Linked DNA regions of Arabidopsis thaliana. The protein of the gene in region 2 interacts with the protein of the main gene of each other region in a pairwise test. Each region holds a gene or a part of one and is shown on either strand. Other genes may lie near its edges.

What was found.
Region 1: the proteins of AT1G13520 (region 2) and AT5G37670 interact in a two-hybrid assay, tested with the Arabidopsis thaliana proteins (one large-scale study listed by BioGRID).
Region 3: the proteins of AT1G13520 (region 2) and DL1C interact in a two-hybrid assay, tested with the Arabidopsis thaliana proteins (one large-scale study listed by BioGRID).
Region 4: the proteins of AT1G13520 (region 2) and HSP23.6-MITO interact in a two-hybrid assay, tested with the Arabidopsis thaliana proteins (one large-scale study listed by BioGRID).

The regions. Positions count from the first base shown.
Region 1 is NC_003076.8:14,966,020-14,972,051, forward strand, and holds AT5G37670 (HSP20-like chaperones superfamily protein), read left to right. Parts: upstream 1-2,738; 5' UTR 2,739-3,015; coding exon 3,016-3,429; 3' UTR 3,430-3,572; downstream 3,573-6,032. Other genes in the region: ARLA1A (ADP-ribosylation factor-like A1A), read right to left, coding at 3,778-3,895, 3,969-4,130, 4,230-4,384, 4,485-4,566, 5,042-5,079. UniProt on the Arabidopsis thaliana protein: Possesses chaperone activity.
Region 2 is NC_003070.9:4,629,928-4,637,120, reverse strand, and holds AT1G13520 (hypothetical protein (DUF1262)), read left to right. Parts: upstream 1-3,821; 5' UTR 3,822-3,897; coding exon 3,898-4,217; intron 4,218-4,420; coding exon 4,421-5,264; 3' UTR 5,265-5,488; downstream 5,489-7,193. Other genes in the region: AT1G13550 (hypothetical protein (DUF1262)), read left to right, coding at 1-49; AT1G13540 (hypothetical protein (DUF1262)), read left to right, coding at 413-735, 825-1,647; AT1G13530 (hypothetical protein (DUF1262)), read left to right, coding at 1,992-2,199, 2,303-2,414, 2,544-3,381; AT1G13510 (hypothetical protein (DUF1262)), read left to right, coding at 6,434-6,753, 6,840-7,193.
Region 3 is NC_003070.9:5,104,831-5,114,625, reverse strand, and holds DL1C (DYNAMIN-like 1C), read left to right. Parts: upstream 1-2,879; 5' UTR 2,880-3,155; coding exon 3,156-3,287; intron 3,288-3,406; coding exon 3,407-3,470; intron 3,471-3,689; coding exon 3,690-3,797; intron 3,798-3,888; coding exon 3,889-3,990; intron 3,991-4,191; coding exon 4,192-4,242; intron 4,243-4,349; coding exon 4,350-4,411; intron 4,412-4,558; coding exon 4,559-4,649; intron 4,650-4,740; coding exon 4,741-4,805; intron 4,806-4,900; coding exon 4,901-5,095; intron 5,096-5,189; coding exon 5,190-5,309; intron 5,310-5,394; coding exon 5,395-5,465; intron 5,466-5,785; coding exon 5,786-6,011; intron 6,012-6,104; coding exon 6,105-6,155; intron 6,156-6,248; coding exon 6,249-6,489; intron 6,490-6,567; coding exon 6,568-6,707; intron 6,708-6,801; coding exon 6,802-6,927; 3' UTR 6,928-7,210; downstream 7,211-9,795. Other genes in the region: MAP70-4 (microtubule-associated proteins 70-4), read left to right, coding at 54-224, 331-501, 608-763, 868-1,014, 1,123-1,194, 1,274-1,801, 1,897-2,084, 2,172-2,211; AT1G14820 (Sec14p-like phosphatidylinositol transfer family protein), read left to right, coding at 7,833-7,904, 8,205-8,463, 8,702-8,738, 8,826-8,943, 9,029-9,139, 9,228-9,389. UniProt on the Arabidopsis thaliana protein: Microtubule-associated force-producing protein that is targeted to the growing edges of the cell plate during cytokinesis. Also plays a major role in plasma membrane maintenance during pollen maturation. Has a GTPase activity.
Region 4 is NC_003075.7:12,913,156-12,919,835, forward strand, and holds HSP23.6-MITO (mitochondrion-localized small heat shock protein 23.6), read left to right. Parts: upstream 1-3,770; 5' UTR 3,771-3,933; coding exon 3,934-4,132; intron 4,133-4,269; coding exon 4,270-4,703; 3' UTR 4,704-4,955; downstream 4,956-6,680. Other genes in the region: AT4G25180 (RNA polymerase III RPC4), read right to left, coding at 387-450, 545-609, 726-752; QWRF7 (QWRF motif protein (DUF566)), read right to left, coding at 1,245-1,301, 1,447-1,557, 1,659-1,748, 1,840-2,076, 2,154-2,846; AT4G25210 (DNA-binding storekeeper protein-related transcriptional regulator), read left to right, coding at 5,291-6,397.

The DNA.
Region 1 (6,032 bases), on a different chromosome or scaffold from region 2:
GGGGCTGAGTTATTACATTAGGGAAGCCTAAATCATATGCTAGTTTACATACTTTATCACACTGGTTTAAGGTTTCAACTAAAAATAAAATATCATAGTTATACATACGGAATAAGCGAAACAACCGTGATTGAGTCAGCGGCATACCGATGCCCTGACAGTTCCATGAGATGATCCTCATATTGGATCCCTTAGGGGTACCGGGCCCCCCGCGCCTCCGTCACGTCCATCATGTATCGAACACGATCCTGCAGATTCAGTCTTTCTTCCTTTCTTGCAAAGTTGACTCAGAACGCCCATTTCGTCTGCAGCTTCCACCTGTTGGTACATTTCTTCAAATCGAACCCTCTTTCTCTTCATGAAGACAAACTCATTTTGTGCATTGTCAGAGGACTCAAGGAGCAGATCTTTCTCAACCGGTGCGTCAGTTTTAACTCCTGCAAGTTTGGCGTGAAGGTAGCGGAGTCTTTCAACTGTGAGGTCTGTGTCCTCAATGACGCATGGAACCGAATAACCATCTGAAAGTTTTTGTACCTGGCGTTGATTCCCCTTTGAAAGCGAAGATTGAAGGCCGGGAATAAGAGTCGCTGGATCCACTGTCTGAAGAGTATCAGTGTCGCTTATGTCATGTTCTTTGTTGTCGTCGTGATGATCGTCATCATCATCAGCATCATCATCATCACTTGTCTCCACCGGATCTTCATTATCAAAGGAAAGGGTGCATGCCTTGATGTCATGCTTAAGGGAGCCACATTTGGTACAGAAATTCCTTAAACGCTCAAAACGAAACTTTATCACAGTGTTTTCACCATCAGCAAATTGGAAATTTCTTTGGAAGCGTAAAGGATCATCCAAATTCCAATTGATTCGAACTCGCACAAAACCCGTATGGTTTGAGTTCTCATCAAAGTCAACATCAGCAACATGTCCTAATCTATTTCCAACACATCTAGCCATTGCATTGGTAAGGAAAAGGAGAGGAATACCGGTGATTTGTACCCAAAAAGGAATGATCTTCATTTCAGCCTCGCTAAGGTTTGGATACCACCGATGAATCGAAAGCATCCAATCGTTGAATGACCACGGTCCACGACGGAGCACGAGATTCATCGCTTCCTCAGACTGGAACTTGAATTGAACTCTGCCTTTGTCAATAATCCGCCCGACGCACGAATCAGGAAAGCCCCAAACTCGTGGCATTTGTCCTATCAAGGCACGGAGGTTCTGTTTGCGTGGATTCACAGTTGTTACCACCAAGGAGAAACGGTTCACATATGCAGCCTGTGAACAAAATTCTGAAGTTAGAGCCACCGGTTCATCATCAATACCCAAGTTCAAATCCTGAACCGATTTACGAAGTCTGTCACTCATGATTGTGGATGACAGTGTTTGAGAAATGGTGAATTGCAGAAAAGGGAGAAGAAGGAGCGAATTGAAGTATATATAAGTTTGTATCCATGGCGGTTTGTGTGGGTAGTTACCCTCCGAAAGTGAAGGGCAATGATAACTGCCATGGAAACTGATTGGCAGAAAGTAACCGCCGTCATAAAACCGTGAAAAGAGACAGATTATGATGGTCGGAGAACTGCTCCGGCGAGGAGAATTGAAACGGTGTGAGTTAGGCAAAAAATCGCCCTCAGAGAGAGAGAGAGCCATCGTTTTAGCATAATTAGTAGTAGTACTTGATTTTACAAGAATTTCTTTTTTAAAAAAAATAAAAAATATTAATAAAATTAGATTTAACACGTCTATATACAAGAATTTCTTTTTTAAAAAAAATAAAAAATATTAATAAAATTAGATTTAACACGTCGATTATCTCTTTCACTCAAAGTATTTGATACATGTGTTAGCAAATTTGAAAATCATACTTTATATTATAAAATTTTTAAAAATCATTAACTATTCATCACCAATCTCTTCACTTCAAGTCTTCAACTCCCAAATTAGGGTTTAACCTTTTGTTTGAATTCTTATTCTGCCCAATGGAAAATGAAAATATTCGAATCAAAGTTGTTCCGTGGGTTTCGTATCTATCAAAAAATATAGAGTCTAAGACAGTCAAAATCTACCTAGATCCAAAAGTGATCTAACTATAAATAAGTCTAAGCCATAACTCATCTATTATACTATACTAGTGAATACAACTATTAAAATTCTTATATATAACTTGGAAGGTCCAAAGATTTTGGATCCATCAACAGAACAATTGGTTCAAATGTAAAAGTTATGAATGAAGCACAAAGTTCCTAACATGAATCGCACATAGCTCCAAACACGTATCGCACCGGTTTAAGAGACTACTAGCCACAAGGTAGGCAATGAGAGTCATTTCACTTTATTTGGTCTAAGTCTTGCGAATTCTCCATTTTCACGACTGATATGACTCGTTTTATATCTAGTCGTCAACTGTACTTAGTTTTGTTCGGGTTGTGAAATTTTCGTGATTGCATAGAATGTTACTCTTAACTTGATGTTAACCGGTTTCTCCATCATCGTGCAAAGCTGGAAACAAATTACAACAAAAAATCATGTTATAGAGCTAAAGAAAGAAAGGATTGAAATCAATATATGTTGCTATTCATGAAATCTTGAGTATATGAATTATTTTTGAAATTTATATTAATTTTTCTATACTTGAGAACATCTAAATATAATATATTTTTTATATTATACATATAATACTTTTCAAGATTTAAAATTGAAGAGTATATATATATATACCAAAAAAAAGGGACAACAGATAAAGATAAAAGGCCCAAATAATCACAAAAATCCTAGAATCGCATCGAACGGTTAGAATCAATCGATATCCATCATATCAATATACACTGCACCGTAGCATATAACAACCCCCTGGGCTTCTCCAAAGTTCTGGAGTCAGAGAAAATGAAGAAGAAACAAGATAACGAAGAACTGTCTCGACTTCTGTAATCTGTATAAAATACTTTCCACTCAAACATATATACACATCTCTAGAAAACAAGCTTAGCTAAAGAAGAAAGATAGAAGAATATGGCAGACAGAGGAATATTCTTGTATCCATTTAGAAGATTCCAAGAATGGTCAAGATCAACGGCTCTGATTGATTGGATGGAATCAAACAACTCTCATATCTTCAAGATCAACGTTCCTGGTTACAACAAAGAAGACATCAAAGTACAGATTGAAGAAGGGAATGTTTTGAGTATAAGAGGAGAAGGAATAAAGGAAGAGAAGAAGGAGAATTTGGTGTGGCACGTGGCGGAGAGAGAAGCTTTTTCCGGTGGTGGAAGTGAGTTTTTGCGGCGGATTGAGTTGCCGGAGAATGTGAAAGTTGATCAAGTTAAAGCTTACGTGGAGAATGGTGTTCTTACAGTTGTTGTTCCTAAGGACACTTCATCGAAATCGTCTAAAGTTAGGAATGTTAATATTACTAGCAAGCTTTGATGTCTAAACCGGGTTAAACCGGTTTTTGGTTTTCTTAAGATGAATAAAATTGGACTTTGTTATTTCATAAATCTAATGAATTGCAGTATGCCAGTATGTAATATTTAGGAATCCAATAAGATGTTAATATTACTAGCAAGCTTTGAAGTTTTAACCGGATTAAACCGGGTTTTGATTTTCATGAACCGAAAGTATTTGAACATTGAAGAATTGTAAAACAAGATTTAAACCAAGAAGAAACCAAAAGCTGATGATTTACATCTGATTGATTCTCAACAAATAAAACAACATCAAGAAACCAAAAACAAGCTTTGTTTTCCTCTAGACCAATGAGCTTGTTGTGTCTGTTTATGTGGCAGTTCTCGAGTGCTTAATGAGCCAATCGATGACCGCATCAATGTTTATCGAGTCCTTACACGAGATCATGTAACAGCAAACCTCTCTGTCTGTTACAGATTCAAGCCCTCTGCATCAAAACAATCCAAAGTCATATACTCGAATCCAGATTGTTTTGTATGGACTTTGAATAAGAAACTTACAGTTGATCAACCAAAGCTTGCTTAGAGAGAGCTTCAGACTTATCGATTTTGTTGCCAAGAATCAGAAGAGGAATGCCATTTAAAGACGGTTTCGTTAGCAGATCATTCAATTCGCTTCTTGATATCGGTACACTATCTCGATCTGCAGCATCAATCACATATCTGCAATATTACCACAGCAACATATACCATCAAAGATTATTAACCAAATAGTAACATGGGATGTTCAAAACATATCGAAGAAGTTTTAAGAGGATGTACACAATGGCGGAAACACCGCGACAGTAACGTTCCCACATGGTACGAAACCTTCGTTGCCCTCCAAGATCCCAAATCTTTATTGTAACATTTCCTTTTGTAACTTTCCTCATGTTAAATCCTACAGTTGGTATCATATCTTCACTGTAACCTCCAGTCTTGACAAATCCAAAGAAAACAAGAAGTGAAACGCGTAAGATTAGATTTGTTCGAGAATACTATTTATCGACTAAAACCTCTGATGAAATTTCTACTCACAGCAATGGCATTGACAAGAGAAGTCTTCCCAGCATTTTGAAGTCCAACGAGTGACAGCTCCATCTCTTGTTTGAAAAACAAGCTGACACAACAAATATAAGCAAACACAGAATCAAAATCTAAGTGTTACCAAAACGTGATTCTGCTATACACTAAAAACATAAGTATAACCAAAAACAACAATACATTACTAACCAACTATAACCTACTCTTTTAACCATTCTATAACATCACATAAAGCATCACTACTATAAATGGATTAAAATGACAATCAAGTCAAGAGAATTAATACACAAGAACATAGAAATAACGGTAGATTTCTCAGCGAACCAATTCATATAATGTAACAATAAAAGATACAGCCCAAGAAACTCAAGAGAAGTTTGAGATTTTGAAACAATAATTGTTGACTCTTTGTGAGAAAAATTGGTTTTTGGCAACGTTTTTACTAAACCCAGAACTATAACTCTAAACTACTTCAATGGAAGAACAAAAGGACTACAACTAATAAACCAACTTAATCAGCAAAACAAAATGAAAGTTAGAAATTTGTTTACCTCCGGAGCCAATTAAGAAGTGAATCCCAAAGACCCATCTCCAAAGATTTGATCTTTTCGAAGATTTAACACTCGAGTTCTGGATTTGGAGATTCAAAATCGAAATATTTCGTAGCCCTAGTTCGATTCTTGAATTTTGCTAGATGGGTAATGAGAGAAACAGAGAGGAAGAGGAACAGGGAAGAATCTGGACCTTACTTAAGGTAATAGAATTTGTCAGTTTGTGAAAACGGTGTCTCTTCCTTCACTCTTGGTGTCACGCTATTGTTGCTTTTAGAATTTTAGATGTCACCATTCTTTTTTTTTTTGTGTGTTCCTTTTATTTCTTTTATGGGAAATTTGCAAAGAATAACTAACAAAAATTTATAAATTAAAAAAGTAATACAAGAAAAAAAAAACAGCTATATTCTCTATATTATATATAATAATGGCATATTTACCTCTTTCTCTCTACCTTATTCTAAGTTCCTCCTTCTCTCCTCTCTTTTTCATCTTTTTTTTTTTTTTTCTCTCAATCTCTTCTCTTTTTTTTTTCTGTATAACACAACAAACAAACGAAAAGAACAAACTAGATTTTTCAGATACCACTTATGTTATCTGATTGCTTGGGTTGCCAAAGTTGTATCTTAGGGTATAGTTTTCTATACATCCAAAATAGTATAATACAACATTTTATTTCTATCCAAAATAGTACAAGTCTTTACTTACAAACACTACTTACTATTTTATAAATTCAAATTCGATTTTAAAAATTCAAACTATTTTGTATGTAGAAAAAAACCTATGTTTTTTTCTAATAAATTTTATAATTGAAATCTATTTTTTGGAAAAGATTTATAGCAAAAAAAAATAAATAGGTGAAAACTAAACTAAGTGTTACTAAATCATCTCACTTCCAATTCAACACTAAAATTGTCTTTTCCTTCTCCTTGCATGCTATTTTCTTAATTTCTATATATATGGTGCTATATTCTTAATTTGTTTATCAAAT
Region 2 (7,193 bases):
GACATATGAGTTTAGACATGCTGATAAGTTGAGGACTATCCAATATTGACTTGTGAGCTTCTCTCTTTTATTTAGTCTTCTGCTTTTACATTGATGTAAACTCTGTTTAAAATGAAAATAAAAATGTCATCTTTCAGAGTTGTTGGAGCGTTGAATACTTCATGATGCAGAGTGGTGTCATGATACAGAGAGGCGAAGACTTTGTTTATCTTATTTTAGAGACACTTGATGAGAGGTGAAATTAGGGTAGGCTAGGATCTTTAAGGAGATCAAGTAAGTTTCTTTGAAGTTTCCTACAACGAGCCATCCAGAAAAGTCAAGTCACCTTGTCAGTTGCTGTTCTACAGAGTTGTTTACTCTATAATATAGGATCAAGTTTTTCTCCAAGTCCAAAACTCGATTTAGTGAAACAATGTACATCACAAGGAGTTTCTCAGAGTACCGGAGGAATCCAGCAGAGCTAACACAGCCTCCTCCTGAGGGTCCAAATTCTGGAATTTTGGTAATCCAAGACCAACACTCACGGACACGGGCTACATCTTGCTTCGGCTCGTGGTTGGTTGTGGACTCTTCTCTAAGTGGTTTGCCATTGCCCCAAAATCTTAAGCTAGCAGTCACATTCAATATTGGAGGTGATGACAGCACTCGTGACCCAGTTGTGTTCATTCCTGTTCTTGATAAGCCTCTATCTTCAAACTGTTATTACGCTATTAAACGGCATGGGAAGCATTCAGGGTATGAAGTTTAATCCGCAAATCTGAAATTCTTGAATCTTTCTTCTTATATAACCTGAAAAAGTTTATAAAATTTTGGTTGCATTGCAGGGAAGCGTCTGGAAGTGCAAAAGAGGACGATATAGTCTCCTGCTGCTTTTGCTCTAGTTTTGTTCCTGAAGCCAAACCAAAACAGTTAGATCCTTTTGACATGTACCAACAATTCAAGATCCATCAAAAGGAGCCTTCCTCGCGTTGTTACTACGCAACATCTGTCGCTCCTGACGGGGTCCCACCATGGTTTCTGAGGAAAAAAGAGTGGACGGTTGAATACTCGAGGTTCCAAGACTTTGAACTGAGAGATGATGCAAAAGGACTCATCACAGAGCTTCGTACTGAGCTTCCTCTTCTTGGTATGAGCACTGTGGTTGGGAAGTGGTATGTCCCTTTCATATTCGTGAAAGAAAGAGAGGTAAAGGATCAGATCAAGAATTCGATGTATTACAGCATGACTCTTGAACAAAGATGGAAAGAGCTTTTTTCTGATGAGAACGACAAAAGCGAGAACCGTGATGTTGTCGTTGATGTAGAAGTAGAAACAGAAGTTGTTAAGCTTGAGGGACAAATGATTGAAAGAGGTCTGGAAGCAAATGGGTTTGTCTGGTTTGGGGTTGGAGACAAAAAGATCGGTTTAGGATCAGTTGTTGTTGAGAGGATGAAATGGGAAGAAGAGAGATTCGGGTGGACAGGCAAAGGCGACAATGAGCGATCAATGACAGTTAAGAGATTGGAGAAATCAACAGATGGTAGCCTTTGGAAGCATTATCATTGTTATGTTCTGATAGAGAGCTTTGTCTTGAAGAGAATGGATGAGAGTTTGGTCTTAACATATGAGTTTACACATGTAGATAAGCTCAAAACCAAATGGGATTAAGCTTATCACGCAACCAAATCTGCAAAAACTTTCTCAATCTCAATGACATGAATCCATTGGTCAGTGTGATTTATCTATAGCCATTTTCAATTCGGTTTTTTCCGTGTATTGTGTTTTGATATTATCTTCAATCTTTTTGGGTGAAGAAAGAATAAAATATAGAGTTTGTTTGTCTTCTTACTTGTTAGTACTCATCCACAGGAGATTCTGACAAATGTTTAAGTCAAACCTCAGATTATATTTATAAACAATAGCTTAGTAAACTTCCTTGCACGTTCTTATGATCCTTTGTTTTATATAAACGATGACAGGTTAGATCTTGAGTAACAAAGAATCAAGGAGAGATGTATGTAACAAAGCGTTTGTCCGAGTACCAGAGAAACCCATCGGAGCTTACTTTCCTTCCAACGGAAGGTCCAAACTCCGGCGTATTGGTGATTCAAGACGAAGAATCACAGCCTACATGCTGTTTTGGCAAATGCTTTGGTTGTGATCTCAATGGTTTGCCGTTTCCTCAGAACACAAGAGTCACCGTTAAATACCAAATCGGACGTTAGTTACTAGTCATTTCACTCCTAACTTTCTGTCAATCATTTTACTTTACTCTGTTTCTGTTTCTTCTCTGTTTATTATCTAAGCTTTGATTTCACCATAGATGGAGATGACAGAATTGTCTTGCTTGACTCGGTCGCGTTCATCCCCGTTCTTCACCAGCCTCCTTCTTCCAATCTTTACTACGTTATAAGGCGAAGAGGGAAACATGCAGGGTATGATTCTATTGAATCTTTCTCATGTTATGTAGATATCAAAGTTTATCGTTTTAGTTTTAATTAAGCCAAGATTAATAGTTTAGCGGCCTAAATTCACATCTTTTAAAACTTTGATTGGTATTGCAGAGAAGCATGTGTTAGTGCAAAAGAAGAGGACAAAGTTTCTTGTTGCCTTTGTTTTACTTATGTCTCTAATGCTACGCCAAGGCTTCTTGATCCTTTTGACATATACCAACAATTTGAGATACATCAAAGAGGCTCATCAACTCGCAAGTTTTTCGCTACATCTGTTGCTTCAGATGGAATACCACCTCGGTTCCTGAGGAGAAAAGGCTGGACCGTTCCTTTCTCTGCTTCCCAAGACTATGGTTTGATTGATGATGCAAAGGGTGTAGTTGATGCAAAGCTGCGCTATGAGCTTCCCGATTTCGGTAAGAGTGTAGTAGTTGGAAAATGGTATGTTCCGTTTTTGTTTGTAAAGGAAGGAGATGCTAAAGATCAGATGAAGAAATCGATGTATTATAGTATGACACTTCACCAAAGATTTGAAGAGGTTTTCTTCTGCGAAAACGTTGACAATAAAAATTGCGAGGTTATAGTTGATGTGGAGGTAGAAACAGAAGTGGTTAAGCTTGAAGGAGAAAATATTGGAAGAGAGACAAAAGGTGTGAATTCAGATGGAGTTGTCTGGTTTGGTGTCTCAGAGACTCAGAAGATAGGTATTGGGTCTGTGGTCTTGGAGAGGATGAAATGGGAAGAAGAGAGGTTTGGGTGGTCGAAGAAAGGCAATGAACTAAAGTCTAGCATTAAGAGAACTGAGAAATTTGAAGGCGGTGGACCACAATGGAAGAGTTATAGATGCTATGTACTGGTAGAGACCTTTGAACTGAAGAAAACTGATGGGAGTTTGGTATTGACGTATGAGTTTAGACATGTTGATAAGTTGAAGAGTAAGTGGGATTGACTTTATTTCAGCTTCTTTGTGTGTTATGTGTTCAATTTATGGTGTGTTCATTTTATTGAAAGGTTAATGCAAGTTCATGTGTTATGTGGTGAAGCTAACTTGCACAAAAAGGGTGTATACTCTAAAAGGAAAAAAACCTCAAAAGTTTTGTAATTATTTTGTAGAAAAGCATTAGCTAGTGCCAAAGAGTAAGACAGAGTCCCCTGTTTCTTTTGCTTCAGTTTCTTCCTGAAGCTAAGTCACAAGAAGCAGATCCTTATAGTTAGGTCAATCATAATATAAAGAAAATATAGAATTTGTTTGATTGATTCTCCATGATAGGTTTGTGAAACCAGGTCAAGGTCATAACTTTGGAATTCTAAAGTTTGAATTGAACCATAAAGTAAAAAAATTTGAAAAGTCTTCAAACGATAACTTGTAAAATTTGCTTACCGCGTTATCCTCAATACATGGTGCAATATATAAACATATCATATCTCTTCTAATCAATAACCTGATCAAGATTCTGAATTCAAGATGTATGTTACAAGGCATCTCTCCGAATACCAGAGAAACTCGTCGGACTTGACACGATCGTTGCCGGAAGGTCCAAACTCCGGCGTACTTGTGATTCAAGACGAAGAGTCAAAACCGACTTGTTGCTTTGGAAATTGCTACGATGGTGAACTCAAAGGCTTACCGTTCCCACAGAACGCAAAGCTGACTGTGACTTACAGAACCGGAACTGGTAATGACAGGCGCAGTTACCATGACCAGGTTCTGTTCATTCCGGTTCTTGATCAGCCTTATTATTCGAACCGTTATTATGTCATTAAACGACGTGGGAAGCAATCAGGGTATGGCCAAAAATCTTAATTACTTTCTTGACTTTGTTTTGTTTTTTTGAGGTTTTAATCAATTTATGTCATGCATGGTTCGAGATACTTGCTTTTGGGTTTGGTTTTCTTGGGATGGTTTCGGTTTGACCGGATTGGCCACCCCTTTTGACCTGACTTGCACAAATGGTATTCATTAAAAAAAAACTAATTTTGGATTGCAGAGGAGCTTCGGCGAGTGCAAAGGAAGAAGACAGAGTCCCCTGCTGCTTTTGCTTCAGCTATGTTCCTGAAGTTAAGCCACAAGAAGCAGATCCTTATGATATATATCAACAGTTCGAGGTCCATCAACGTAAACCATCATCAGGCTATTACACTGCCACTTCAGTTGCTCCTAATGGGATACCACCAGAGTTCCTTAAGAGAAAGTACTGGACCGTTGAGTATTCGAATTCCCAAGACTTTGGTTTGACAGATGATGCAAAAGGGATCAACACTACGCTTCGTTCCAAGCTTCCCAACGATATGAATACAAGTGTTGTGGTAGGGAAATGGTATGTTCCTTTCATATTTGTGAAAGAAAGAGATGCAAAAGATCAGATTAAGAGCTCACCTTATTACAGCATGACGCTTAAACAAAGATGGGAAGAGGTTTACTCATGCGTAAACGTTAACTACAACCAAAAAGGAGGAGAGGTTGTAGTTGATGTTGACGTAGAAACACAAGTGGTAAAGCTTGAGGGACAAGAAACTATTTCTAGAGAGACAAGTGGTGGTGGATTTGTTTGGTTTAGTGTTTTAGGGGATGAGAGACAAGACAAGAAGATAGGTCTTGGGTCTGTTGTCGTGGAGAGGATGAAATGGGAAGAGGAAAGGTTCGGATGGTTAAACAACGGTGAAAGATCTAACATTAAGAGATCAGAGAGATTTGAAGGCGGGTCATCGCATTGGAAGAGTTATCGATGTTTGGTATTGATAGAGAGCTTCGAATTGAAGAGAATGGATGGGAGTTTGGTGTTGACATATGAGTTTACGCATGTTGATAAGTTAAAGAGCAAGTGGGATTGAGTTTTTTATTCATCTTTGTTCAGTTTCTTTGTGTGTCATCTTTTGGTTCAATAATTAATTTAATGAATAAGTTTTATGCAATTTCATGTAGTAATTAAAAAAAAAAAAAAGTTCGCATTTAAATTCACGTAAATTTCAATTATGAATCATTTATTTGATCATTCTTCTTAAATGTTTTTTTTTTAATATTGTAAACTTGTAACCCTCATTCCAACAACTATGGCCCTCCATTTTTTTAATATAAATCAAGTTCTTTGAAAGTTGCTGATAACGTGTTTTGATTCTACTACCAATTTAAAAGTCTTCACATACGAGTTTAGACATGTTTATAAGTTGAAGAGAAAGTGAGATTGAGAGCTTTTCCAATTTGATTCTCATATCTCCATAATTTATTTAATTTTATGATGTCTCTTAAATTCTGCTTCAAGTTCTGTTTTTTGGGGGCTCTGTTTCAATACAAAACCTCTGTTCTGCAGATTGCTCAAATGAACAATTATGAAGTTAATGGTCATAATTTGGAACTCAAAGTAGATAAAAACTTAAGTTACGTGATAGAATTTAAAAACAATGTGATGTGAATTTAAAAACTGCCAAAAAGGACTTCCATAAAAGCTAAGTCAAAGATCTCGGAAAAGTCTTAAAAAACAATGTTGATTGAGCCGCTAGTGAGATTATTTTTTCTAGTGATTTGAGTCTTGTCTTGTAGGATTCTTGTTGCTTCTCTACCACAACTATATTTTGTAACTTTTGCTCTCTCTTATCTCAATTTCTTAAAGGTTTGAGATGGTAGAGTTACTTGACTTGTGAATTTTTTGGTTTGAGGGTGCCTTAGAAATTGATTGCGTTAGAATGGTTGGAGCGTTGAATACTTGACTGATGCAAAAGGTGTGGACAGAATCTTCATGATGCATGCAGAGTAGTGTCATGATACAGAGAGGCAAAGACTTTGTTTAAACTATTTTATAGATACTTGATGAGAGGTGACAATAGGGTAGGCCAAGATCTTTATGGAGATCCAGTCAAGTTTCTTACAACGAGCCATCCAAAAAAGTCAAGTCACCTTGTGTTCTGAAAACTTGTTGAGTCTATAAAATATGATCCAAGTTTTTCTCCTAGTCTAGATATAAACGATCACTCGATTTGGTTTACTCTTACAAAAATCAGTGGAAATGTATGTTACGAGGTGTTTGTCAGAGTACCAGAGAAATCCAGCAGAGCTAAGACAGCCTCCTCCTGAGGGTCCAAACTCTGGAATTTTGGTAATACAAGACCAACACTCACAGACACGTCCATGTTGCTTCGGCTTGTGTTTGGTTGTGGACTCGTATCTAAGTGGTTTGCCCTTGCCGCAAAATCTTAAGCTAGCAGCCAGATTCAATGCTGGAGAAGATGACGCTACTTGTGACCCAGTTGTCTTCATTCCTGTTCTCAATAAGCCTCTATCTTCAAACTGTTACTACGCTATCAAACGAGTGGGGAAGCATTCAGGGTATGACTTTGAATCTTGAAGATCTGAAATCTTGCATCTTTCATCTTATATAACCTAAAAAGTTTCTAAATTTGTTTTGGTTGCAGAGAAGCGCCTGCTAGTGGGAAAGAGGAAGACAGAGTCCCGTGCTGCTTTTGCTCTAGTTATGTTCCTGAAGCCAAACCAAAACAGCTAGATCCTTATGACATGTATCAACAATTCATGATCCACCAAAAGAAACCATCCTCGCGCTACTACTACGCGACATCTGTTGCGCCTGACGGAGTCTCACCATGGTTCCTTAAGAAAAATAAGTGGACAGTCGAATACTCAAGGTTCCAAGACTTTGAACTGAAAGATGATGCAAAAGGACTAAACACAGAGCTTCGTACCGAGCTTCCCGGTCTTGGTATGAGTGTTGTGGTTGGGAAGTGGTACGTCCCTTTTATATTTGTGAAGGA
Region 3 (9,795 bases), 480 kb from region 2:
TGATCGCTTATTTATATTGATTCTATATATAATGATGTTGTATGTTGTCACAGAACCTTGAAATCAAGAAGATAAATGAAGAAAAGAAGGCTTCCATGGCAGCTCAGTTTGCAGCAGAAGCTTCTCTTCGTAGGGTTCATGCTGCTCAAAAGGATGATGACATGCCTCCAATTGAAGCTATTCTTGCCCCTTTAGAAGCTGAACTGAAACTTTCGAGACAAGAAGTATTTTCCTTCCTTTGAACCAGAATTACCTTTGTATAGCTCGATTCAACAACTTACGGGACATTTAACAGCTTTCTCATATGGGTTTACATGTTTTGATTGGTAGATTGCTAAACTTCAAGACGACAATAAATCATTGGACCGCCTAACCAAATCAAAGGAAGCAGCTTTGCTTGACGCTGAAAGGACAGTTCAGTCTGCATTGGCAAAGGCTTCAATGGTTGATGATCTCCAGAATAAGAACCAAGAATTGATGAAACAGATTGAAATTTGTCAGGTATGTCTATATCATTTCTTTTACATATTGGAACACCAGAATAGGGTATCTCTTCCTTTTCTTACCACTGTGGTGGCCTTATTTGTTGATACATTGGTTAAAATAGGAAGAGAATAGAATTATAGACAAGATGCACAGACAGAAGGTTGCAGAAGTTGAAAAGCTTATGCAGAGTGTTCGGGAATTAGAAGAAGCTGTTCTTGCTGGTGGTGCAGCCGCAAACGCAGTGAGAGATTACCAAAGGAAATTCCAAGAAATGAATGTATATTTCATATGCTTCTATAGTACCTCAATAACTTACTGTTTTTCTTGTTAGTGTTTTGGTCTCGTACTGATCGTAATTGTGGTGTTTTGTGTTTTCCTTAGGAAGAGAGGAAAATCCTTGAACGGGAATTGGCCCGTGCGAAGGTAAATGCAAACAGAGTTGCTACTGTTGTAGCTAACGAATGGAAAGATTCTAATGACAAAGTGATGCCTGTAAGGCAGTGGCTTGAAGAACGTAGATTTTTGCAGGTCATTGCTGATACATATTAATATTTAAATTCTCTTGCTGCTTCAAATTGTGATTCATATTCACGGAGATTAACTTATACTATTGCCACCACCGTTATGTTTGGACAGGGAGAAATGCAACAACTACGCGACAAACTTGCCATAGCTGACCGAGCTGCAAAATCTGAAGCTCAGCTGAAGGTAGAATCATAGCTGCGGGACACCATCTTATTTTTTTTAATCTCCTAACTGAGGAATTGCTGCTTTTACTTATTTTTAGGAGAAATTTTTACTGCGGCTTAGAGTGTTAGAAGAGAGTTTAAAGGGGCCTACGAGCAGCAGCAGCAGAGGCACATCTGTTGGTAGAAGTTCGAGCAACGGGCCTACTCGAAGACAATCCCTTGGTGGAGCTGAAACAAGTCCAAAAATTACATCAAATGGCTCGCTGATTAAGAGAACACCAAGTTCTCAGTTGAGATCATTGACTGCTAGTGCAAGCACTGTATTGAAGCATGCGAAAGGAACATCAAGATCATTTGATGGGGGCACCAGATCATTGGATAGAAGCAAAGTGCTAATAAATGGACCGAGATCGAATTTTCCTTTGAACCACAAGTCTTCTGAAGGAACTAGCAGAGGCGAATCGCCTAGCTCAATAAAAGGGGAAGAAGAATCAGCTGACAAGGCAACAAATAATGATAGCGTCCCAGGTGTCTTGTACGATCTGCTGCAGAAAGAGGTCATAACATTAAGAAAAGCGGCGCATGAAAAAGATCAGAGCCTGAGAGACAAGGACGAAGCGATTGAGGTTTGCTAGTGTTTGGCCTTTTTTCCTGTTCTTTGCCGCCTTTATATGAAATGTTGTATAATATAAGTCTAAAGATATGGGTTGTGTATATTTAGATGTTGGCCAAGAAGGTTGAAACATTAACAAAGGCGATGGACGTTGAGGCAAAGAAGATGCGAAGAGAAGTAGCTGTAATGGGGAAAGAAGTTGCTGCAATGCGTGTTGTTGATAAAGGACAACAAGATAGTAAGACCAGACGTCTCTCGGTCTCAAAGGGAAACACAGCTCAGCTACTTTCTGGAAGGTATTAATGTATTATCATATCAACTACAATAAGCTTTATTATTACCTTTAGATGTCATTATTGTTTATGTATTTTATCATTTGGTAGAGTGTCTGGACGAATCGGGATGACGAGGAGCACACAGTGACAAACTGATTCGATCAATCACTGGTTGGTCTCTGTGGCTTGCCTTAAGGTTCTTGTACCAAATTGAGAGAAGGGATTCAAAAGCCGAAAGAGATAATCGTGTAAAGTACCTGATTGATTCGATGTGTGTTTCTCTAAAGCATTCCAACATTCAAGGTAAAGGGAGACATTGACTTCACTTAGCTGATATATTTCTTACTCTGTTGCGTTATGTATAGTAGTACTGCAGTAGTAGAGGTAGGGTTGTTTTGTTCAACATTTTAAGCTTTTTTACTCTCTTGTTTTGTGTGTGTCACTCTCTCCTCTTAGTTAATTTTCTTATTAACCTCGATTATATTGGTAGCCTAATTTTTTATCTTTAAAAGAACTCTTCTTGGTGTTCAAAAAAAGAACTGGTAAAACCCAAAAAAGCTATATACAAAAAGAGAGAGAGATAGAGTTAATGAACACCACATGAGTTATAAGAACACCATCATTGAGATTTGAGAAGGATATTTACAACATTTGTAGTCAGACTTTATTGGGAAAAAAGTACATTTGTAATGTAATCAGGTCTTAATGATAATTAGTAGTTTTGACTTTTGAGTAAAAAAGAAAGAAAAAAAGAACATAACCACATGAATTGAACCGGTTCCGTATCATTGACCGGTACGCGTTTAGCGACGTGGGATTTGATATATTTTCACTTTCGGTCCAAAAGTATTATATATTTGAGCAAGTAGTCCTACTTTTTTGGTTTGAAATTGTTTTTCCCATTACCGTTCTCTGCTCCATTGGGTTCTTTCCTCTTTTCTCCCAGATTCATCAATCCCTCCTGCTACCGCGAGAGAGTAACAACTCACCGGACGTTTCAAATCCATCCTCCGATAACTATATTCGTTTCGTTAGATCTAGATCTGAGCGTCGGTGAGAGATTTTCTGGATCTGTGATACGTTCCAGGAAACATGGCGACGATGAAAAGTTTGATAGGTCTGATAAACAAAATCCAGAGGGCGTGTACTGTCCTCGGAGATCATGGCGGTGAAGGAATGTCGCTTTGGGAAGCTCTCCCAACCGTCGCTGTCGTTGGTGGCCAGGTTTGATCTCTTTCTATTGAATATACACATTTCTACGTTAAGATCCGATCTCACTTCTCGCCTCTTCAATCTCCACGTTTCTGATTTATCATTTTTGTTTGGTTGATATTGTGGATCAGAGTTCCGGAAAATCTTCAGTTCTAGAAAGTGTTGTGGGAAGAGATTTTCTGCCTCGTGGATCTGGTAATTTTACCTCTCGTTAAGCAATTTTGTCTAGTGTCTTCGATGTTTGGAATTGAAATTAGGTTTTCGGAATTTCGTGCTCTTATTAGTTGCTTCGATTTCAAACAATTTAGCGAAGCTCTGTGATCTTGAGAGCATTACATGAACATTTTGACTACTTCGAAAAACATGAGACTGAAGAAGGAGACCATCTAAATTGATACCATTTGATTTTATCAGGTATCGTTACAAGGAGGCCATTGGTGTTGCAACTTCATAAGACTGAAGACGGGACAACTGAGTACGCTGAGTTTCTTCATGCTCCTAAGAAGAGATTTGCTGATTTTGGTAGTTTGATTGAATCTTTCACGCTAATTGCTGGAAACAGTGAAATCGACAAAGGCATGTCGGGCTAATCTAAGTGTTATTCTCTTTTCAGCTGCTGTGCGGAAAGAAATTGAGGATGAAACTGATCGTATTACTGGGAAGTCAAAACAAATCTCAAACATTCCAATTCAGCTGAGCATATATTCTCCTAATGGTTTGTGCTTAAGACCACATTTCCTGTTATGCATTCCTATTGTAGTTAGTTCAGAAACCAACACCGTAAATTTCCTATATTATTGATAGTTTGATACCAGCTGTAATGAGATAACGAGTAGTACAATTAGATTTGAAGATTCCAATTTTGCTAACCTCTTCCATGTGACTTTGATTTCTCACTCTACTCTTTTCTCTACAGTTGTTAATCTGACGCTCATAGATCTTCCGGGTTTGACCAAGGTCGCTGTAGGTAAGAGTTTACTATTTTTTATCCAGTAGCTTAGCTTGTGCTTAAACTAGTTACTGATATGAATCTTGTGCTTAAACTAGTCACTGATATGAATATTATTCGTGTAGATGGACAACCGGAAAGTATTGTCCAAGACATTGAAAATATGGTCCGGTCTTATGTTGAAAAGGTCAGTCTTGCTCTAAGCTATTACTGAGACGGTTTCGGCAATCTTTTCAACTTTTCCAACCAAGTTGAACAGAAGAATGCATTTGATCATCATCACTCACTATAATGTCAACTCTGGAAGCTTATCCATAAAATCTTTTAACTGCAGCCAAATTGCATCATATTGGCTATTTCTCCAGCAAATCAAGATATTGCTACCTCAGATGCTATAAAACTTGCTAGAGAAGTTGATCCTACAGGTACGACCTAAATGTAGTTTCCTAATAACTGGTAAGTAGTGACTTTTTACACTCCACAACATTTTCTTAACCTTCTAATATATTTCTGTAGGCGAAAGGACTTTTGGTGTTGCAACCAAGCTTGATATCATGGATAAAGGAACAGATTGTCTAGATGTAAGCGTCTTTCTTGATTTCTGCACCTTGGGGTGTCAACTAATTCTGTTACTTGTTTAATATATTGTGACACCTCCTCTACCTATTTGATGAAGGTTCTTGAGGGAAGGTCATACCGTTTGCAACATCCCTGGGTTGGAATTGTGAATCGTTCACAAGCTGATATTAATAAGAGAGTCGATATGATTGCTGCACGTAGAAAAGAGCAAGAATATTTTGAAACAAGCCCTGAATACGGGCACTTAGCCAGTAGAATGGGATCAGAATATCTAGCAAAACTCTTGTCTCAGGTACCCTTTGGATTTACTTGCACAGATCTCGTTTAAATTAAAGCTTGAATGCTTAGCTTTGACTTTCTTCCTTCTTTGTTTTCCTCTCTATTAGCACTTAGAGACTGTTATCAGGCAGAAAATCCCCAGTATTGTTGCTTTGATCAACAAAAGCATCGATGAGATAAATGCAGAACTTGATAGGATTGGGAGACCCATTGCAGTAGATTCAGGAGTAAGATTTTAAACCATTAAGTAATTGGAATTCAGAGTTGCATCAGAATCGTATGGTTAGTCACTCACTAAATATATGATTTCAGGCCCAACTTTACACAATTTTGGAACTCTGCCGGGCATTTGATCGTGTCTTTAAGGAGCACTTGGATGGAGGGTAAGTGATTTAGTTATTCTACTTCTTATTCGTAAAGCTTATAACTTCTTGTTGGTGTACTATTACATTGCGACTGTGATGATCAACTTGGAGTCTATGAATTTTTTTAAGAGATAGTGTCGTTTCCAGAGTAATGTGCTGCTCTATAATGAATTTTGCTTACCTTCTAGTCAGTTTCCAGACTAAGGATGTGCAGTTTTAGTAAAAAAATTACATCAATGACCTTTTCATAGATGTTTGCCAGAAAATGCTTCACATAATTTCACAATGTACGTCCGGTAAAGTTGGTCTTCTGACAGTCATTATGTTGTTTGTATCAGACGACCTGGTGGAGACCGAATTTATGGAGTTTTCGACCATCAATTACCAGCAGCCTTAAAGAAACTTCCCTTTGATCGACATCTGTCTACCAAAAATGTTCAGAAGGTTGTTTCAGAAGCAGATGGTTATCAGCCGCATCTTATTGCTCCTGAACAAGGATACAGAAGGCTCATTGATGGATCCATAAGCTATTTCAAAGGACCAGCTGAAGCCACTGTCGATGCAGTATGCTTCCAAAATTTATTAGATTGCATTACTTTTGAGACTTAAGTTTTAGTAAATTGACTATATTCTTGATTGCTGTTTGATATTTCCTAGGTGCATTTCGTATTGAAGGAGCTGGTCAGAAAGTCAATTTCAGAAACAGAGGTAAGAACTGACAAGATGCCTTTGGTTTTGAGAACTCTTCCTAGCTCTTTACGCTCTGTTTTAGTCCTAACATACCATTGCTGTTTTTTTCAGGAACTGAAGCGTTTCCCGACTCTAGCAAGCGATATAGCAGCTGCTGCAAATGAAGCTCTTGAAAGATTCAGAGACGAAAGCAGGAAAACGGTTTTGCGTCTGGTGGATATGGAATCTAGCTACCTCACGGTTGAGTTCTTCAGGAAACTCCATCTTGAACCCGAGAAAGAGAAACCAAACCCAAGGAATGCCCCAGCACCAAACGCAGACCCCTACTCCGATAATCACTTCAGAAAGATCGGTACGTGTCTCTCTCGCCTCCCTTTACTTAGAAATGATACATTATCAAGTCTTTGTTTGTTGACTTTGGATAATTCAGGATCCAACGTGAGTGCATACATAAACATGGTCTGCGACACATTGAGAAACTCTCTTCCCAAAGCTGTCGTTTACTGCCAAGTTAGAGAAGCTAAGAGATCGCTTCTCAACTTCTTCTACGCTCAAGTTGGCAGGAAAGAGGTAAACTATATTATTACCCTTTGGATTATTTTGTTACCTTGTAGAAAATGCCATGCCCAAATCGAGAATAAATTTAAGAAAAATGATGGTGCAGAAGGAGAAGCTGGGTGCTATGTTGGACGAAGACCCACAGCTGATGGAACGAAGAGGAACCTTAGCTAAACGGCTAGAGCTTTACAAACAAGCTAGAGACGACATCGATGCAGTGGCTTGGAAGTAAGGGGGTTTGCTAAGACATATTCTTTATATTGTTAATTTCTTTGTTCGTGTGGGCACACTGCATTATAATAGATATGTTTGGAGTTCTAACTTCCAGTCTACACAAACATACACGCGACTACTCATGTTTTCTTGGGTCGCTAATTTCTATCACAACTTTCCCACTTTTTTTTGGTGTGTATCTTCGATTCTTGAATACTGGTTTTTAGAACAGTTAAGACATATTTTGAAGTCGCACTCTTTACATTAGACAAAAAGGAAGCTAATCTTTGATTTTTATTCAATTGGTCTCCACTTGTGCCATTACTGTATTTGGATCCAGTTCAAGTTTAAAAACAAATAGATGACAAAGAAGCTAATCTTTCTTGAAAATTTAATGTACATCTCATGTAGATAGAACAACTTATTAACCTAAAGGACTTTTCTTCTGTCACAAACAATAAAAATCGTTAGAACTGAATTTCCAATGCTCAATTAAGAACAAGCAGCTAAATGTATAACCGTTAACAAAGCCTGTTTCACATGGTTGATCAGAAAAATGATTAAAAGAACTTTAAGTAAGCCTTAAGATTCGGGATTTAGGAGTTAAAAAGCAATGTAATCATCACAGCTGTTTTAAATCGTCAAAGTAGTAGAAACAAAAGTCAAAGAGAGAGCTTCAACTTCCAGCTGCCCATTAATTGCAGCGAGTTGGGGAAAGGCTTATTGAGTTATTTCTATCCACTTACCGTAGAGACAAGTACCCAATACTTTGTCTGTTTCTTCTTCCTGTGGCTTCTGGGTCTTTGTCAACATCAAAGCTCTTTACTTTTTCAACTTACTTTATCGTGCGTCTGTACGGACCACAAAAGGCTCTCTCTTTATTTCTCTGTGAGATTTTTTTAGGATCTGAGAGAGCCAAAGATCATGGAGGAAAGCCAAGAACTTGCCTTGACCCAGTTGAGAAAATCGGTCGAGAAACTCTCTTCTTCTACTGAGGTAATCTAATTCGACGCTTTAGTTTCATTACAGTTTACAAAGCTTGCATCTTTTGGCCGTTTCATGAGTTTCACTGACAATGTCTCGTTAGAAAATGAGAAATATCTGTCATTTGATTTTGATGGGTTTTATATGGGCTACACTGTTAAAACTCTGTCTCCATTCTCGTCATAGTGGTTTGTCTGATTAGGTTTGAGCCTCCCATCAGAAACCCTAACAGTAGAGACAGTTTAGTAAAAGTGAATCCATAATCAGAAAATCTCATCAATGGTTTTTGTTGTTGTTGTTTCCTCTGAAAAGGGATATGACAAACCAACATTGATGAGGTTCCTGGTGGCAAGATCAATGGACCCAGTCAAGGCAGCAAAGATGTTTGTAGATTGGCAAAAATGGAGAGCCTCCATGGTTCCTCCAACTGGATTCATCCCTGAGTCAGAAGTGCAGGATGAATTGGAATTCAGAAAGGTCTGTCTTCAGGGTCCGACCAAATCCGGACACCCATTGGTGCTTGTCATAACCTCTAAGCATTTTGCTTCTAAGGATCCAGCTAACTTCAAGAGTAATCACCTCTCACTTGCTTCTGACCTTTACTTTCGTTGGAAATAATCTGTCCCTTGACTTTCAGTGACTTTTGTATTCATAGAACTGATCAGCTTCTTTCCTGGTTCTCTAATTATTGAGTAGTTTCATTTGACTTCAAATGAATGAAGTTTTTTGAGTCCATCTATGTGTTTTCCTTGAGTTGATTCTTGCGATAATTATCTATGAACTAATCTTTTATCTGTTTGATGTTGCAGAGTTTGTTGTTTATGCGCTAGACAAAACAATCGCAAGGTGTTTACACATTATTGAAACCAAAACACTTCAATAATCTTCCGGTTAGTTGGTTGTGAGACAAGCTTTTTGGTTTTTATGTTTCAGTGGCAACAATGGCAAAGAAGTTGGAGGTGAGAAATTAGTAGCCGTTATTGATCTGGCAAACATTACATACAAGAACCTTGATGCTCGTGGATTGATCACTGGCTTTCAATTCTTACAAGTAAGCATCTCCCTTCTTCCTGAAACAATATAGTTATCACACAAAAAGAAGTCCTGTCTATTAAATTTGGAAAATGTTTCTCTAGTCTTACTACCCGGAACGCCTTGCAAAATGCTACATTTTGCATATGCCCGGATTCTTCGTGACCGTTTGGAAATTCGTCTGCCGTTTTCTAGAGAAAGCAACTCAGGAAAAGGTTTGATCTTTAATCTCCTCTTGATGTATCTATCTCTAATGGTTCTTGAGCAACGAATCACATAAATTATGATTTTGCTGTTGCATAGATTGTGATAGTTACGGATGGAGAAGAACAGAGAAAATTCGAGGAGGAGATCGGAGCAGATGCTTTACCGGAAGAGTACGGTGGCCGAGCTAAGCTCACAGCAATCCAAGATGTTCTTCTTCCTCAGGCTGCTCCAGTAACTCTAACAAACAATAATGTTTAGCTCTTTATTTTTGGAAGCATTAACCTGAATATTTGTAATGGTCAGAACATAACTAGTGGTACATCTCTAAATTTCCAAAAGAAGCAATGAAAACATGAGAAAGTAATGCGAATATATTCAATCTGGTGACTGAGTGCTCGCTCTTGCTTATCTTTTCTTATTCACATCATAAGTAAGCTGTAAAGCAGGATTGATCAACAGACCAGACTAACTTCTAGAAACTTAATGTCCTCTTGTTGTACGTGTAAGATTCCAAAGTTAGCTATAGATGTCTTTGAGCTAAAAACCAGAATCACGAGCTCTTAAATATGATCCCTAAGCCTTGTTATATGACAAAAGACTTTTCAACAACTTAATATTTCCAAAAGAAGAAATGATGAAACACATGAGAAAGTTGTGTGAATAT
Region 4 (6,680 bases), on a different chromosome or scaffold from region 2:
CATTGAGCATTTGGATTAAGTAATAGAGATAAGAACTAAGCCAGTATAAGCTACAATGAACATGTTAGGGGTCCTGGACCAACTCATTTCATAGTCACTTAACAAGGCAGTTAAATTGATGCGATCAACAAAAGCTAGCAAAGGAGATGAGGCAGATTCAAAACTAGTAAAGGTCAGAACCAAAAAGAAAATTCCTTGTTAGCTACGATGAAGAAAGCACACCGTTTTGGTATTTCGCATATATCATAATCTAATGTATAAGATTTTGATTATTTTAAGTGAAATTAGGGAAGTTACGATTAAACTGTTAACGAATTTTCGACAAAATTAAATAAGGAAAGAAACTAGAGAGCAAGATTTGAGAACTGAGAAGCTTCTCTACATACGCCGACGATACGTCTGTCAAATTGGCGAGATGCTTTTATATTCTCTTCATCCTCCTCAGCTTCGCTGTGTTTAGAGAAAATTTAAAGCTTTTACATGTATAAGCAGTTAAAGATTTCTACAAGCATAAACAAGAAATGATCGAGGAAGAACGAATTACGTGTTTGAGGTTGGAGCGATCGGAAGACGGCGAGAAGGCCTCGGAGGATTTGGTTGGAACCTCCGCTGACGAGAAATGGAACGGAGTAAGGTCAGTGAAACGCAATTTTCGCGGCAAATTTTTCGAGATTTGAGATGAAATTAGGAAGGAGAACAAGAAGATAGAATCAGTAGAGGTTTACCTTAGACTTTTGTTCGCCTGAATCCATGGCAGAGTCTCGCCGGTAAAAGATTCGGAAACGAGGGAAAAAAAAAAAATTGGGGATTTAGGAAAAAGATGGCTTCGAACCCGAGACCTCTGTAGTACTGAATAGCTGGATAACCAAATGACTTAATAGCGCTTTTAGTAAGTTAAGTCAATCTTTATATTTATAGCTTTGGAAATTACAATTATTATTTTTATACATTCTTTGTGAGAAGTAAACACTTCTACGTGTGTATATGTGATTGGATAGACATTTTTAGATTTCATGTCTAATTTTTTGTATAAGTATATTTTCATTAAGGTGTATGTAGAAATTGCATAACGAAATTTGTAATACACATTAACACATGGCTTCAATCGTATATATCTAGAAGTAGAAGACTGCGTCTTGAATTAGATAGCGAGTTCTGGCATCAACAACAATCCAGTTTGCAAAATGTGCAATGTGATTAACATTTTAATTACATGTCCTAACGTTTGAGTTATTAGAGAAACATTATCTCTGTTCTTCAGTCTTTTGGAGAATATGGACCCTCAAGCTACTCTCCTTTGCCTGTTAAAAGAAAATTATCTCACCATTTTAGCCTATGGAGCTTCCACATCCAAATTGAACCAATAAAAAACAAACCATTCAAGTTATAGATAAAACTACCGGACCGGTCACATATATATAATGAAATTAGGAGATAATGAATTACCGTGAAGAGAGGAATGGATAAAAGGCTCTCGTCCATTTCTTCAAAATATAACAATTCTTGATTGAACATGCCGATCAATTCTGTCAGCTCATAGAGGATTATTTCAACCTGCTGATATTTAATCACCCAAGACATTCTTAAATTAATTTCTTTTACATGTATCTATACAAAAAAAGTTAGGAAAATGATCTGTATAGATAAAGTGGACTTACTCGTGGGAGAAACTTGATGATGACGTCTTCGATCTCGTCCATGACTTCTATAGCTATGACCATTTCTTCATGTATCGACACCATATCTATCTGTAACTTCCAAATTATTAGTTTCTGCTTTCTTGACAAATACACAAAATGTTTATAAACAAATTGGTTTCCCAAAGAGAGAAATTCTAACCGTGGCACCATGTACGAGGGGTAATCGGACAGACAAAGCATGGAGTTTTCGAGTTAGCTTGCTCAACGCTTCGGAGTTTTTTGCGTCTATTTTTGACCACTCATTAAGTAAAGGCATTTGGAGGCTGAGAACTTCACGTACTTTGATATCTTGACGGAGCCTTTGAATTTCAATCAAATTTTCTACAACGTAGTTCCTCATTTTGTATATCCTAAGCCAAACCCAAAACAACTGATCCTGAAACCATTCACAGAAACAAATTAATAGATATTTATAAGATACAAATTTAAATATTTTTCATATAGTTTTTGTACCTCAACGTTGATCTTAAGGTTTGCCATAGTGGCTTCAGTTCTTGCGTTAACAAACCTCCATTGAAGTAATCTGTTTTGAAAAATCCTAAACCGGTGATAATCCTCCTCTTGTACCGGAGATACTTTCTTCTGCGCCATGAAGTACTTCAAAACTCCTGCCACCGCTCCACCGCCACCGCTTCTTATCTTGGCCTTGCTTACGGGTGACTCAGGCGGCGTCATGCACATTGAAGTCGTCGGAGCTGAGCTGGACAGAGGCGTCTTCATAGTCGAAAGTCTTCCAGGAGACAACGCCCACGCCGATGGTGAGCTGGCTCCCGGCTTTACCCCTCTCGATGAAGCGTTACTACGAGGACTACCACGCGTACGTTGCTCCAAGTACCGAGCAAACGACTCTCTGCTTCTACCGTTGTTTATCTCTTGAGATCTTGATGCGCTGTTTCTCGCCGGGATTATGTTCTCGCCGGATTTAGAGTCGGATGATCCGATGGGTCTGGAGGATCTTGTTGTGGACTGTGATCTGGTTATCATCACTCGTTTGCTTGAATTGGAAGGCGAAGAGGAAGAAGATGAAGAAGTAGAAGACGATAACGAGGCGTTTAAGGACACTGGGAGAGAGATTGAAGAGCTTATAGTCCGGCTCCGGTTATTATTGGGCGATGGAGGACGGAGTCTCCGACCGGTGGTTGCCATTTTCTTCTTTAATATATGACGACGGTTAACTATATGACTATATCATACAAGACTTATATTCGGTTTCGTTTCTCGACTCACTTGCCCCTGTCCTTAAGACTCTTATAGTAAAGCTGGAATTATATGGTTCAAGGAATCGTCTAGTCTATATACACTGGTTTGAACAATTGTGATATATAATATAGTTAGGGGTATATTATATTTAATCTGTTAGATAACGGTTGGGGTACTTGAAGATCTGTAGGAGTTGACAGCACGTAGAGGCAGAGGTAAGAACACTTCTGCATGTAGTGTGTCTACATAATAAAATATAGAGTGTATTTTTTACACACACCAAAAAGAGAGATTATAATTAATGTATTATGTCAAAGCATATATGAAGGTCAGCTTAGCTAGAGACACGTCTTTTGTTTATCTCTCGACTAAACAACATGGCGTTTTAATAAAATCAAAACTTAAAAGGTCCAATTCAGAACGGCCCCATAGTATATAGTCTACGTTGAATAAATAAACCTCAAGATAGCGTCAAACTCTTTAGTCTTTACCCAAAAATATTTTTTTTTAAATAACGTCAAAACTCTAAGTCTTGACCTCAACACCAATATATATTTGCCTTCTCCAATATCTGATTTTTTTAATTGTTTATCCGAGTCTTCTTGGTCTTTTCGAATGTTTGCCCGAACCAGACCTTCCCACGTTCGGTGGTTGGTGGCCGCCTCGGCCTTTGGTTGATTTCTGTCCACATTTTGGTCCTTTTCATTCATGTACCATGTTCTAGGGTCATTTGACTTGTTGACCATAAATCTACTAAAACAGGCCTAATACCGATGGGCCGTAGCCCGTTAATAAACAAGACAATTTATATTTGTTTCACTTAGCTTGGGAGCCACGGATCTCTAGAAACATCCAGAGAAATATCAATCTCCCCACTTCTCCAGAACATTCACTCACTGACAATATCCCACCTTCAACACTTAACTCCTGTATATAGTCCTCCCCTGTCTCCAGTTTCGTCGCACACAGTTCTCAGATAAATACTAAACTCACTGTTAAAACTTTCTCAACAAAGCTTCCTGTTTCTCTACAAATGGCATCTGCTCTCGCTCTTAAGAGACTCCTATCATCCTCCATCGCTCCACGTTCCCGTAGTGTTCTTCGTCCAGCTGTTTCCTCTCGCCTCTTCAACACCAACGCCGTTAGGAGCTACGACGACGACGGCGAAAATGGAGACGGCGTTGATTTATATCGCCGCTCTGTTCCTCGCCGCCGTGGTGATTTCTTCTCAGGTAACAAACCAATTGTTTCGCTTTTCCTCCAGATCTATGTCTCTCTGTTGTTAACGTAGCGAAAATCTAGTAAGAAAACAGGTATTAGCTTACACTGAGCTCAAAATCTTGACATGATTGATTGTGTCTTTGTGTAGATGTGTTTGATCCGTTTTCGCCGACGAGGAGCGTTAGTCAAGTGCTGAATCTGATGGACCAGTTCATGGAGAATCCTCTGTTATCAGCTACTCGTGGCATGGGAGCTTCAGGAGCTCGTCGTGGTTGGGATATAAAAGAGAAAGACGATGCTCTGTACCTGAGAATCGACATGCCTGGGCTGAGCAGAGAGGATGTGAAGCTGGCTTTGGAGCAGGACACTCTGGTGATTAGAGGAGAAGGAAAAAACGAGGAAGATGGTGGCGAGGAAGGAGAGAGCGGTAATCGGAGATTCACAAGCAGGATTGGATTACCGGATAAGATTTACAAGATCGATGAGATTAAGGCGGAGATGAAGAACGGAGTGTTGAAAGTTGTGATCCCGAAGATGAAAGAACAAGAGAGAAATGATGTTCGTCAGATCGAGATCAACTAAAAACGTCGACGTTTTTTTCTGTTCTAGTTTTGTTGATAGGTCTTTGAATAAGAAGTGTGTGTAGTTTGGCACGGTCGATGTTGAGTCATGTAGTCTCTAAAGACTAAAAGGTTATATGTTTCTTTCTTGAGACGGTGGTTTTTTGTCTTGCTTAAACCAAAATTTGCATTCCAAATCAAAGCACTAATTAAATAAGTTCCTAATCGTGTATTCTTTTAGCTAACTCGGTCGGTTTACATGCCTTTGTGGTTATGAGACTGGAGCTTATGGAACGTATTTGGGTTTAAAATTTTCTGTAGACTAGGAACTAGGAAGACTTTAAGACGAATTCTGAGGCTGCGTAAGTTGTCGACGGACTGGTCTATTAATAACGCGTAAAAGTGTTAGGCCCGTTCGAGTAGAATAGCGCGTTGGACAGCCCAACTTGAATGAATCGATCGACTTTTATTAAAAAAACAAAAGTAGGGCAAAAAACAAAAAACAGAACCTCGACATTAACCTAAACCTAAGAGCAAAGCAAATCGACGGCGACGGGAAAATAGAACCGCAGATCTCTGTCTCCTCTCTCTCTCGTAACTGTTTGTTCGATGGCACCGAAGAAGGCGGAGGAAGTGGTCGAAAGCCCTCCTGTTTCCAGTGAAGAAGAAGAATCTGGCTCATCTGGAGAAGAATCTGAATCTTCTGCTGAAGTTCCGAAGAAAGTCGAGTCTTCGCAAAAGCCTGAATCTGACTCTGAAGGCGAATCTGAATCGGAGTCCAGTTCTGGGCCCGAGCCCGAGTCCGAGCCTGCTAAGACGATCAAGCTGAAGCCTGTTGGGACTAAACCAATTCCAGAGACGTCTGGATCTGCCGCGACTGTACCTGAGAGTTCAACGGCTAAGCGTCCTTTGAAGGAAGCTGCTCCTGAAGCTATTAAGAAGCAGAAGACATCGGACACTGAGCATGTGAAGAAGCCGATAACTAATGATGAGGTTAAGAAGATTTCTTCAGAGGATGCTAAGAAGATGTTTCAGAGATTGTTCAGTGAGACGGATGAAATCGCTTTGCTTCAAGGTATTATTGATTTCACATCTACCAAAGGAGATCCTTATGAGGATATTGATGCTTTTTGCATTTATGTGAAGAAACTGATCGATTTCGATGCTACCAAAAACCAAATTGTTACTAAACTTCAGAGGTTGAAGAAGAAGTTTAATAATGCTGTGAAGAATTCTCTTAAGAAGGGAAAGACTGAAGATGATATTGAGTTTGCTAAAGATCTTGAGCAAAAAGGTTTTGAATTGTCCAGAAAGATTTGGGGAAGCAATGGTGTTTTGGTTACTGGTAAATCATCAAGGAAGAAAGTTGGAGGAACACCTGCACCGAAAGAGATGAAGTTAGTAGCTCACTCTACTCCCAAGAAACAACAAGAAGAAGCGAAGAAACCGGAAAGAACAGAGGCAAAGGTTGTGAACACAGGTCTCTCCATTGGTAAAGAGATTGCATCGTTCCTCAATGCAGATAATGGGAGTTCTTGTGGTTTGGATGAATCCACATTAACTGCGGTTTGGGCAAAGGTTGCGGATGGAGCTGAGAAGAGAGAAGTGGAGGAGAAATGGAAGAAGCTTAAGGCTAAGCAGTTTGAGCTATGTTTGCAGAGGTCTGGACTCGTGAATGAAACTGCAAAGATGATATTCAAAGCCTATGAATCTTGAGCGGTTTGTCTTTTTACTTTTTTAGTATGCATCTTTGAGTCTTTTTTGTATTGTGCATTTTAGCTTGTGAAACTAATCCTTATGTAAGTCTTTTTTCGTATTTTCTTTATGCCCCTATGTTGGATGTTTGGTTTGGGTATATGACCCTTTTATTTATTACTCTTGTTCGGTTTCTATGATATTAGACAGAAGATGGAATAGCCCTATTAGTTCTTTTATGTTAAAAGCTGTGAAACGACTTAAGCTGTGAAACGACTAGTCAATGTGTGTTATCATATGCATT